Arabidopsis thaliana: one gene and its partners. The protein of the gene in region 3 purifies or fractionates together with the protein of the main gene of each other region. This does not show direct contact. Each region holds a gene or a part of one and is shown on either strand. Other genes may lie near its edges.

Evidence for each region. Proteins that work in one complex are often made in the same cells at the same time.
Region 1: the proteins of rps18 (region 3) and PRPS20 fractionate together in Arabidopsis thaliana (co-fractionation; one large-scale study listed by BioGRID). This does not show direct contact.
Region 2: the proteins of rps18 (region 3) and AT5G56940 fractionate together in Arabidopsis thaliana (co-fractionation; one large-scale study listed by BioGRID). This does not show direct contact.

What each region holds. Positions count from the first base shown.
Region 1 is NC_003074.8:5,114,198-5,118,116, forward strand, and holds PRPS20 (chloroplast 30S ribosomal protein S20), read left to right. Parts: upstream 1-1,823; 5' UTR 1,824-2,018; coding exon 2,019-2,208; intron 2,209-2,357; coding exon 2,358-2,518; exon of another isoform or gene 2,519-2,957; coding exon 2,958-3,215; 3' UTR 3,216-3,291; downstream 3,292-3,919. Other genes in the region: AT3G15180 (ARM repeat superfamily protein), read left to right, coding at 6-113, 284-381, 565-702, 811-858, 1,092-1,206, 1,318-1,415, 1,520-1,606; AT3G15200 (Tetratricopeptide repeat (TPR)-like superfamily protein), read right to left, coding at 3,292-3,919.
Region 2 is NC_003076.8:23,029,113-23,032,912, forward strand, and holds AT5G56940 (Ribosomal protein S16 family protein), read left to right. Parts: upstream 1-1,634; 5' UTR 1,635-1,766; coding exon 1,767-1,899; intron 1,900-1,986; coding exon 1,987-2,032; intron 2,033-2,859; coding exon 2,860-3,088; 3' UTR 3,089-3,299; downstream 3,300-3,800. Other genes in the region: EMB1789 (CCCH-type zinc finger family protein), read right to left, coding at 45-176, 279-344, 422-1,164, 1,297-1,453; NAP1;3 (nucleosome assembly protein 1;3), read left to right, coding at 3,506-3,551, 3,634-3,677.
Region 3 is NC_000932.1:65,927-68,725, forward strand, and holds rps18 (ribosomal protein S18), read left to right. Parts: upstream 1-1,990; coding exon 1,991-2,296; downstream 2,297-2,799. Other genes in the region: petG (cytochrome b6/f complex subunit V), read left to right, coding at 72-185; psaJ (photosystem I subunit IX), read left to right, coding at 1,003-1,137; rpl33 (ribosomal protein L33), read left to right, coding at 1,562-1,762; rpl20 (ribosomal protein L20), read right to left, coding at 2,586-2,799.

The DNA of each region.
Region 1 (3,919 bases), on a different chromosome or scaffold from region 3:
TACAGGTGTGAAGGCGTTAATTTCAGCTATTGATGGGAGTCTGGAGTCAGTTGAGATGAATGATACTGATGCACAGGAAGCTGCCATTGATGCACTTGGTCAGATGGGATCAAGTAAGTGGGTCACTTTTCTTTGAAACTTTGTTTGTTGCAGTCGTCTTCTAAAAGAGATAGCTAGAGAGGCCATACATTTAGAATTATGAATTATAAGAGCATCCGACAAGATATTCGTTTCCCATGCAATGATCTTGTAACTTATATGGATATTTTTACAATAATCTTAGCAACGAAGGGAGCGGATCTTGTCCTTTCAACTTCACCTCCAGCTGCAAGACATGTTGTAGCTTCTGCCTTTGATCGTAATGCACATGGAAAACAGTTGGTTAGTGTGTTTTTGCTTCTCATCAATTGAAATTCTGCCGATTATATGCTCTTACTACATTTTTGAAGATCCAATTTTTCCAGTTTTAGGATTTCTAATTCTAACTATTGAGGGTTGAAATTTTGCTTCATTAGTAGAGACATTCATGAAATTATATGATTGTTTCGTAAATGGCATGTGCAGGCTGCACTGCATGCACTGGCAAACATCGCAGGTGAAACACGACCTAAGAGCAACAGAATAGTTGATGGAAAAGCTGAAGAAAGCCTTAGATGTTTGATATACGACGCTGCAGCACAGAGCACAAAACTAACCCCATCCGTAAGTTCGTTTCCTCTTTTACTTATTCTTCTCTCAGAAGTGTGCAGATTACATATTTTTGTTTGATCCGTAGCATGAGCTAATTTAAGCATGTCGCACAAATTGCAGGGTTTATTCCTCTCAGTTCTTCAACAAAGCTCAGAGATTCGTCTTGCGGTAAACCTTTAACTCAGCATCTGATCTATCATATCTTCTCCCCCTTTGTTTCTCTAGTTGGAAATTTCAAAATGACACACTACATTTCATTCAAAATTAAGAAATCTCTTTTGTCCTTCTACACAAAACTCGGATACATGTCACTCATTTGATCTCACATAAGACCTTCACGCATTGCCTAGAGGTAACTATGTTTTTTGCTTATAGTATATTGTTTACAATGTTGTTTGCAGGGTTATCGAACGTTAACAGCATTAGTGGCTCGGCCATGGTGCCTGGTGGAAATCTTGGCCAAAGAAGAGATAATAAACATAGTTACGGATGCAACCACTGAAACTGCAAAAATAGGTAAACCAAGTAACATTCCTCGCATCACCCACACTCCAGCCATTGTATTGGCTTCTTCCTCCCTCAACCTCTTTGATCTACGAGTCTAAATCTCATTTTTTTTTTACTCAGCAATGGAAGCAAGGTATAACTGCTGCAAAGCAATTCACGAAGCGTTCTTGTGTAGTAACTTTGTTGATGACCCTCGTCGTCTAAAAACCGGTGACAAGGTTCCATACTTTTCCTCTGCGCTCTTTAAGATGGAAGTTTCGAAAAGGCTTTTCTTTGATGTTGTACTTTTACTTGCTGATGACATGTTTGACATTTGTTGCAGTTGCAAGAAGCTGTTCGAAGTGGACCATATATGTCGAAGAAGCACAGAGGCGCACGACCAGAAGTAATGACAGGCGAAGGATTTTAAAGACAACTAAAGAAAAAAAGTTAAAACTTCTTTGTTAACCAAAGTTTTTTATATCTTCTCTGGCTGTTCGATAAGTAAACTTTAGTTCTTTCTATAAACAACGAAGGCTAGGAGTAAACGTTTTGGCGGTTGAAATTTGTGTTCTTTAATTTTTAGTGTTGAACTTAATCAAAGAAAAAAAGGAATAACGAGTTTGGTCCGTTTCTCATCGTTTGCCATTAGCCCACGCGGGAGATCCAAAACACTGGGCTAAACTGGAGTTAAGACGATAAACCAAGGGTAATATAGTAATTGCGTTTCCAGACATCATCTCTTCCTTTATGGATAACACTGGTTCGAAATGGAGCCATTACTCTTTACTAACAGAGGGAGAAAGAGCAGAGAAGAGAGAAGAGGAAGCTTGTAGAAATCGATGGCGACGATAGTGCAGTGTCTTTCTTCCTGTGCGACCCTCGAATCCCAATTCAAAGTCCTTTCGCTTAAGGGAATCTCTTGTTCGTCACCATCTTCTTCCTTCTCCAATCGTCGTGGTGCTTCGGCTACCTTATCCTCTTCCCTTAGCTTCTCTCAGAGCGTTTCTCAATGCGTCGCCTTCTCAACCGGTAAACCCTACTTCAGAATCGTGAATTTCATCCTGGTCATGGAGAATTATTGAAATGTTATCGGCATTTTGAATCCATTCGTTTTCTTATGCTTTCGCTAGTGTCAAAATTTTAGGGGTTTTGGAACTGAAATATACATGTTTGGACAGGGAATTTGTGGGTACAGAAGCCAATGAGGCAATTGATTGTGTGTGAGGCTGCTGCTCCTACCAAGAAAGCTGATTCAGCTGCAAAGAGAGCTCGCCAAGCTGAGAAGAGGCGTGTTTACAACAAATCTAAGAAATCTGAAGCCCGTACCCGGATGAAGAAGGTAATGTTGTAAACTTCATACTTTCTGTGAAAATATGTTGGAGTGCTTTTGAAAATTTGAGCTTCTGTTTGAAGATAGGATACAAGATTGTTGATAAGCTTGTAATGCTGTTCCTCTGAAGTCTTAGTGATAAGTTAGGTGGAAATATATCAGGGAATGTTTCTCCTTGTGAATTCTTGTAGCAACCTATGAACAACACTGAACATTGGAATCCAAGTAGGTGGATTAGTTATCATTGTTTGCAACCGATTTATCGAAAAATGGAACTCAAGTGGAAGCTGTTGAGACGGTTTCATGTTGTTATTAGAACTTGGGAGAACTTTAAAAGTCTTGATAGTTTAGAACATCTCATTATCCTCGACAACTAAGACTTATAAATGTTGTAAGTAACTTTTTTACATACATGCAAGATGAGAGTAAAATTCATTTGAGTAAACAGGTCTTGGAAGCACTTGAGGGGCTCAAGAAGAAAACTGATGCGCAAGCTGATGAGATTGTGACGGTGGAGAAACTGATAGGAGAGGCTTATTCTGCAATTGACAAAGCAGTGAAGGTTAAAGCACTACACAAGAACACTGGTGCCCGTAGGAAGTCTCGATTGGCTAGGAGGAAAAAAGCCGTTGAAATTCACCATGGTTGGTACGTCCCAGACGCAGCTGCTGCAGCACCATCAGAAGCTGTGCCCATGGCTGCATAAGAACATGGGGATAACGGAAATTTGTTTTTGTTACTAGATCTTTCAAAATCAAAATCTGTTTCTTTATAATGTACATTTAGTCGCTTTCAGACTCTTCGCTTGTTAAGTTCGATCTAAGCATTTTGTCTTCTACTCTTGGCTTGGTCTTGTTCTGGTTCAGTAACATCTCAGTTCTTGGCTCTGGTACCATTCCTTTTGACATCATCTCTTGAAAGTAACTCAATGCTTCTCCAATTTTCCCCTTTGTGTGCAGACCATGAATCCTAATAGTATATGTTCTCTGATCTGGTCCTAATCCACTTCTCTCCATCTCACTCCATATCTCTCTCACTTTCTCTTCCTTGTCCCATTGCACATATAACCTAAACATCAAATTGTACAAATCGCTTGTCATTTCACACTTGTTCTTTGCCATCCTTTCCAAAACTATGTCAACATCCTTCGATCTCTGCGAATACTTGAGCAAGTAACTGAATGTCACATCGTTAGGCGAACAACTACCACCTTTAAGTTCCATCTCTTCCACTAGCTCCCAAACTTTCTCAGTTCTCCTTATCTTGCAGAGATGCTTCAAAAGTGAGTTATACGTCACAACATTCGGGTCGGGACCTTTCTCACTAATCTCCCTGAATACTTCAAGAGCCTCAGGGATTCTCTTCTTGAAACACAAAGCATCAATAACGTTATTGCAGATTTTAACATCC
Region 2 (3,800 bases), on a different chromosome or scaffold from region 3:
TTAAATCCAAAGAAATATTTATAATCCAAAGCCGTTGTGTAGACCTCATGGCACCGCCCCTTGAGATAGTGTCGACAATACTTGATAGGCTTTGGTTTTGGAGCTACTGGTTTCAGTTTCAGCTTTTTCACGCCAAGGGCTATACGCTCTTGAGCTCTTTTTATCCTAGCTTTTGCCTGCATGAAATAGCTTATCAGTAAGTAAACATCTTACTCCACACACAAAATGATTGTAAGATATCCCCGTAATATGTCAAAGAAATGCATACACTACATTACCCTCTTTCTGGCTTTTGCATCCTTAGAAGGCGCAGACCTTTTTTTGATGGAGGTTCCAGGATCCATCTGCAAGTTAAAATACAAGTCAGATTTTATTAACACCTAAGCAACATAACATAACAAGATTCTTTAATATTGGATACCTTTGCTTCGTTACTGAAAGTTTGATCAATCTTCTTGGCTTGATTATCTACATTCATTACCTCAACACCAAAACTCTTATGACTAGTGAGATGGCTATTACCAGTTCCATCTTGTGAGACCTGATACTCCTCATGTCTTTCGACTGTTTCATCATCTTCTACAAGCATATCATCATTATCATCCCCTGATATCTCTCCTTCTTCTACATCATCACCTCCAACTATCCGAGACACAGAATCTACCAAAACCGGACTATTATCAACAGGTTTCTCTAATTCCATCTCTCTTTGAACTGTTCCATTACAAGCTTCCAAAACTCCAGAACTTATAACCTCATTAGATTCAACAGATTTAGGAACCTCCTCTGCCTTTTTCTCACTTTCAACTGGATCTACTTGAACTTGAGTTGCAATATTAGGCTTCTCCAGGACATTTTGGACAATGTCATAGTCATTCACATCCAATGCCTCAAAGAGATTCACACAACTTTCTGGAACAGAATCTTGAGTTTCATTAATCATAAGCTCAAAGCTATCGAAAAAATCTGTGTGTCTACTAACAACAGATGCATCTTGCAAGTCAATTCCATCACAAATATCTCCAAGCATCAAACTCTTTTCCTGTGAAATTGTTTCCACCTTCTCACCACTTGAATCACCAGACACTCCATTGAGTTTTGATTCCGTAATTGATAAATTCTCCGGCGGTTCGCAAGTTTCTCCCGGAGACTCTTGAGCAATTTCTATGTAAGAAAACACAAATAGCATCAGAAATAGTTTCAGGCAATTTCAAGCAACAGATGAACTTTGAATTTTGATTACTAGAAGATGAATTAATCATTCCTAAGAACTTTGACTTCGAATCGAACACTGACCTGTTCGTAAGACCAGCTCCTGGAGAACTGCCGGTGTGGCAAGAGAAATTTGAGGCTCCCGATCGAAACTCGAGCAAAAGTGATAAAGCAAAGAGCGATAATTTCGATTCGGCAGATGCGTGCGTCGGTGAGGAAACGGAGCGACGGAAGATTCCATTGTCTCCGCCGGAGAATAATCTCAACCAGTACCGATAGGCTCAACTTCGGCTTGTCTTTCGCCGGAGAAAGGCCGTCTTGTGGCGGTGGACGATTTAAAAATCTTTATTGGGCTTGTATCATCTTTGATGTTAATGGGCTTCCTGATTTTGTAGGCCCAATGAATCCTTCAACAAACGGCGTCGTAATAAGGATCCAAACCCTAAAAGATTTATGGATTCAGAGTTTTCGAAATTGGAATTTCTCACTCTCTCTATCTCTCTTAGCCAGCTCTGATCATTTCGATTTTTTTCCGGTGAAAAGGGAGGAGAAACATGGTTGTACGTATCAGACTGTCGAGATTTGGATGCAAAAATCGGCCATTTTTTAGGGTTATGGCTGCTGATAGCAGATCTCCAAGAGACGGGAAGCATCTTGAGGTCTTAGGTTACTTCAATCCTTTGCCAGGTGATTGACAAAACAAAATGTATTCCAATTGGTGTTGTTCGTAGAGTTTTCGATTAAAATACACGATCTCTTGGTCTATGTGTTCAGGCCAGGACGGTGGTAAGAGGATGGGTCTCAAGTTCGATCGAATTAAGTATGTTTCTTCTCATCTAATTCTCTAGTTTCTTATGTTTTTTTCGGTAAAATCAGGTAGGTTTTGGGTTGAATTTACTCAGAAAGAGGTCTCTGAATGCTTCACTAGATGATTAAGGCTTTTCTGCATTTGAAGTGTTTTGGTTAATTGCTAAAGTTAGCTTCTAGCCGCCTCTAGATATCTTAATGCATTGTTGTATAGTCAACATTGTGTTATAGTTAACTATCTTTCGATCTGATACAAAGGAGCTGAGTTCAGTCTTTGAATGGTTTTTGTTATCGAAAGGCGAATGAATCTACATGTTTCCCATGGTTGGTTTTGATCACTTTCTTTCTCTTCATGGTATTGAACCATTAGTTGAAGCAATTTTCTACCTCATTTAATCACTAACTTATGAAAGGAAAAACTGAAATATTTGTGGAAATTCATCAACAAGTTTTGTTATATAACAAATGAAACTTCTCCGCCAGTCTTGAGTCTTTCTATGGAACTTCTGCTCTGAGTTCTGGAATTGTTTCTTATTAGTGTAAGATGAAGAACCTGTTGATTATCTATTCGTATACACACTTACTTACATTCTTAATTGTTCACCATATACAACCTCTTTTGCATAATTGTATGGTCATGTAGCTTTAGAATCTTGTCATGCTCTTTATCATCATCTAAAATTAAGATTATAATGTCCGGATATTAGAAGAACACATGTCAAGACTACTTAAAAGTTAGATCCTGGTCTGTCTTTCTTTTGTTCTGAATGACTAGTTTCAACAGAGGATGCATATAGTTTGATTAATGGACATTTTGTTTGATTCTCTTGTTCTGTACAGGTACTGGTTATCTGTTGGTGCTCAGCCATCAGACCCGGTTCAACGTCTCCTATTCAGATCCGGTTTACTTCCTCCTCCTCCAATGGTGGCTATGGGACGTAAAGGTGGAGCACGAGACACACGCCCAGTTGATCCGATGACTGGTCGCTATGTGGATGCAGAGAATAAAACAGTTAATGCCAATGATAACCAGCCTAAGGAAGAGGATACAGAAGCCAAGAGTGCATGATTCATTAGCCTTCTGTCATCGTAGCTTTTCAAGTTCACTTTGTTGTCGATTATATTGTGTAATGCAGCATTAGACAACTGACTTGTTTCCTTTGTTTGGCGATAAACGGCAAGGTGTTTGGCACTTTTTGCAGAAACGGCACATATTTTGCATTGGGATATTTTAGATTTTAAAAAATGAAAAAGTAAATAAAAATGCCAGCGAGGGAATTAAAAAAAAAAGAATGGCAGTTGTTAGGTTTAAATTTTATAAAGGAGGAAGCCACGTTTTGCGTTTAGTCGCCACCCAGAAAAAACCCTCAAGTCTTCTTCTTCTTCCTCAATCTCTCCACCTCTTTTCAAACCTTCTTCACACTCTCTCTCAATCAATCCTTTTTCTTCTCAAATCTTTCAGTTTTGATCTCTAAATTTCCAGAAAATGAGCAACGATAAGGACAGTTTCAATGTCAGCGATCTCACTTCTGGTAAATCTATATCTCCGATTTTGTTTCTGCGGCTTTGCTTCTTCTTAGTCAAAGTTTTAGAAGCTTTTTTGTTTGTTTGCAGCTCTTAAAGATGAGGATCGAGCTGGTCTTGTCAACGCTCTTAAGGTGAGTTTCTCTATCTCTTCTTATATCGATTTGCATTATACTTGAAGAGGAACATGTAATTTGGGCGTTTCGTCATTTTATAGTTTCTGTGGAGATTTTTTTGTAACTGTTATGTGTTTGATT
Region 3 (2,799 bases):
AGATTAAGAGCTAGGAATAGATAGTACCTCTCTTTTCTCCCTTTCAAAAATGAAAACAAAAGAAAATTCAAATGATTGAAGTTTTTTTATTTGGAATCGTCTTAGGTCTAATTCCTATTACTTTGGCTGGATTATTCGTAACTGCTTATTTACAATACAGACGTGGTGATCAGTTGGACTTTTAATTAATTAACATCTCGTTTTTTTACTAACCTCCTTCTTGCTTTCCTATGCGGGAGGTCTAATTCAGACTGCTGCTCAGTAATTTGTGAACAGTGGAATTTTGATACAATCTATGAAATCACGCTCTGTAGGATTTGAACCTACGACATTGGGTTTTGGAGACCCACGTTCTACCGAACTGAACTAAGAGCGTTTTTCTTTTTTTTTTTTTCTAAAAAACGAAAAGGCTAGAAAGAGGGCATTCTTTAACCCGACTCGATTTTGTACGTATATACTATATCATACATAGTATATCATAAATTTCAGAATTAAATGTATGTCCGATAAAAAAAATTGATCAAAATAGATACCTCGTTACTGCTCTTCTGAGCAGTAATAGGTAGGGATGACAGGATTTGAACCCGTGACATTTTGTACCCAAAACAAACGCGCTACCAAGCTGCGCTACATCCCTTTCAATAGGTTTACAGTGTCATTGTAGAGAATTCCTGTCTTGTTTTCCACATCCTCCTTCTTTTTTATTGGTATATCAAATTCATTTCTTCTTTTTTTCTCATATCAGATAACAAAGATATAATTAAAAAATTTACTTTTTTTTTTTTTTTTATTCTCTCAATTTTACATAAATAGGCCTTTACGTTTTCAAATGGAATCGATAAGATCGTTCTAGTCGACAATATTAAAATTCTAATTTTGAAAGCGGGGGGACGGAAGTTACATATACAAATACAAGAACTTCTTAATTACATGTACATCTGTAATTATATATATTACTATATATAATGTAATACAATAAAGAAGAAAGAAGGAGGATTTCTAATGCGAGATCTAAAAACATATCTTTCCGTAGCACCGGTACTAAGTACTCTATGGTTCGGTTCGTTAGCAGGTTTATTAATAGAGATTAATCGTTTATTTCCAGATGCATTAACATTTCCCTTTTTTTCATTCTAGTTATTAACATCAGAAAGGGGTGAAAAATTTAGAGATACAATCAACAATCGGGGACTAACCCCCCCACCTTTTCTAATTAGTAGAATAAATTAGAAAAGGTGGGGGGGGGGGGGAAAGGTCATAAAAACGAGGGTTCAGGATCCAATGAAATTAGTAATAGAACGAAAAAAAGTGTTGCTAGGGAACCTATCAGATACTTAAAAAAACTACTGTACAAAGATTTTAAATATAGTTTTCACAAAATCATAAATCATTGTATTACTTATTTTTTTTATTTAATTACTAATAAATAAAATATTAATTGTAACGAAATATTTCAGAATTTTTTTTAGTTAACAGCTTCTATTTTTTTTGTTCTTGTTCTTTCTGGATCCTAAAATTAAAATAGAAGATTGAGGTGAATCATAAATCCAAAGGAGGTTTCATGGCCAAGGGTAAAGATGTTCGAGTAACAATTATTTTGGAATGTACCAGTTGTGTTCGAAATGATATTAAGAAAGAAGCCGCGGGAATTTCCAGATATATTACTCAAAAGAATCGGCATAACACCCCTAGTCGATTGGAATTGAGAAAATTCTGTCCCTATTGTTATAAACATACAATTCACGGGGAAATCAAGAAATAGATCAAATTGAGTGCTTGTATGTCAACTTTTATTTTAAGAACAGGAATAATGCTAGTATCTATATATTATTACATATATATAAATATAAACAAATAAATCAATAGAAAGAAATCTAATCCGATATTCTTAATTCTATATAGAAATTCTATCCTATATAGAAATAGAAATCGTTTTTATTTTGATCCGATCAAAATAGGATTTTAGAGATAAGGAATAAAAATAAAAATTATGAATAAATCTAAGCGACTTTTTACTAAATCCAAGCGATCTTTTCGTAGGCGTTTGCCCCCGATCCAATCGGGGGATCGAATTGATTATAGAAACATGAGTTTAATTAGTCGATTTATTAGTGAACAAGGAAAAATATTATCTAGACGGGTGAATAGAGTGACTTTAAAACAACAACGATTAATCACTATTGCTATAAAACAAGCTCGTATTTTATCTTTGTTACCTTTTCTTAATAATCAGAAACAATTTGAAAGAAGTGAGTCGACTCCTAGAACTACTAGTCTTAGAACCAGAAAAAAATAGACTTATTTTTCAATTGAATAACAATTCCAATCTGAAGGAATTAAAAAAGAGATTAATGTTTTGTTCAAAAAATCCAATCAAGAATAAAAATTTGATTGTTACGTCTGTGTCTATTATAAAAAAAAAAAGAAAAGAATCGTCGAAAAGCATAACTCGTTTTTTCGAAACTATATACTCTCGTTTTGTTTTGACGACTTTTTTTTTAATACTAATTTCTACTCTACCTTCCCCGAGCTCATTCTCCTTAGAACTCTATTTCAAATATTTTCGTGGATTTCTTCCAATCCCCTTATTTTTTTATGTCATTCGAAATTGTATAAAGACAACTCCTATTTAATAGAGCTATTTGTGCAAGTATTTTCCGATTAAGAAGTAATTGCTTCTTGTATAGATTGTGTATGAATTCATTATAACTATAGAATACCCCCATTTCGTGAATTACGGCATTTATTCGAGTGATCCATAAACGGCGAAAATCTCTTTTTCTTTTACCCCTATCCCGA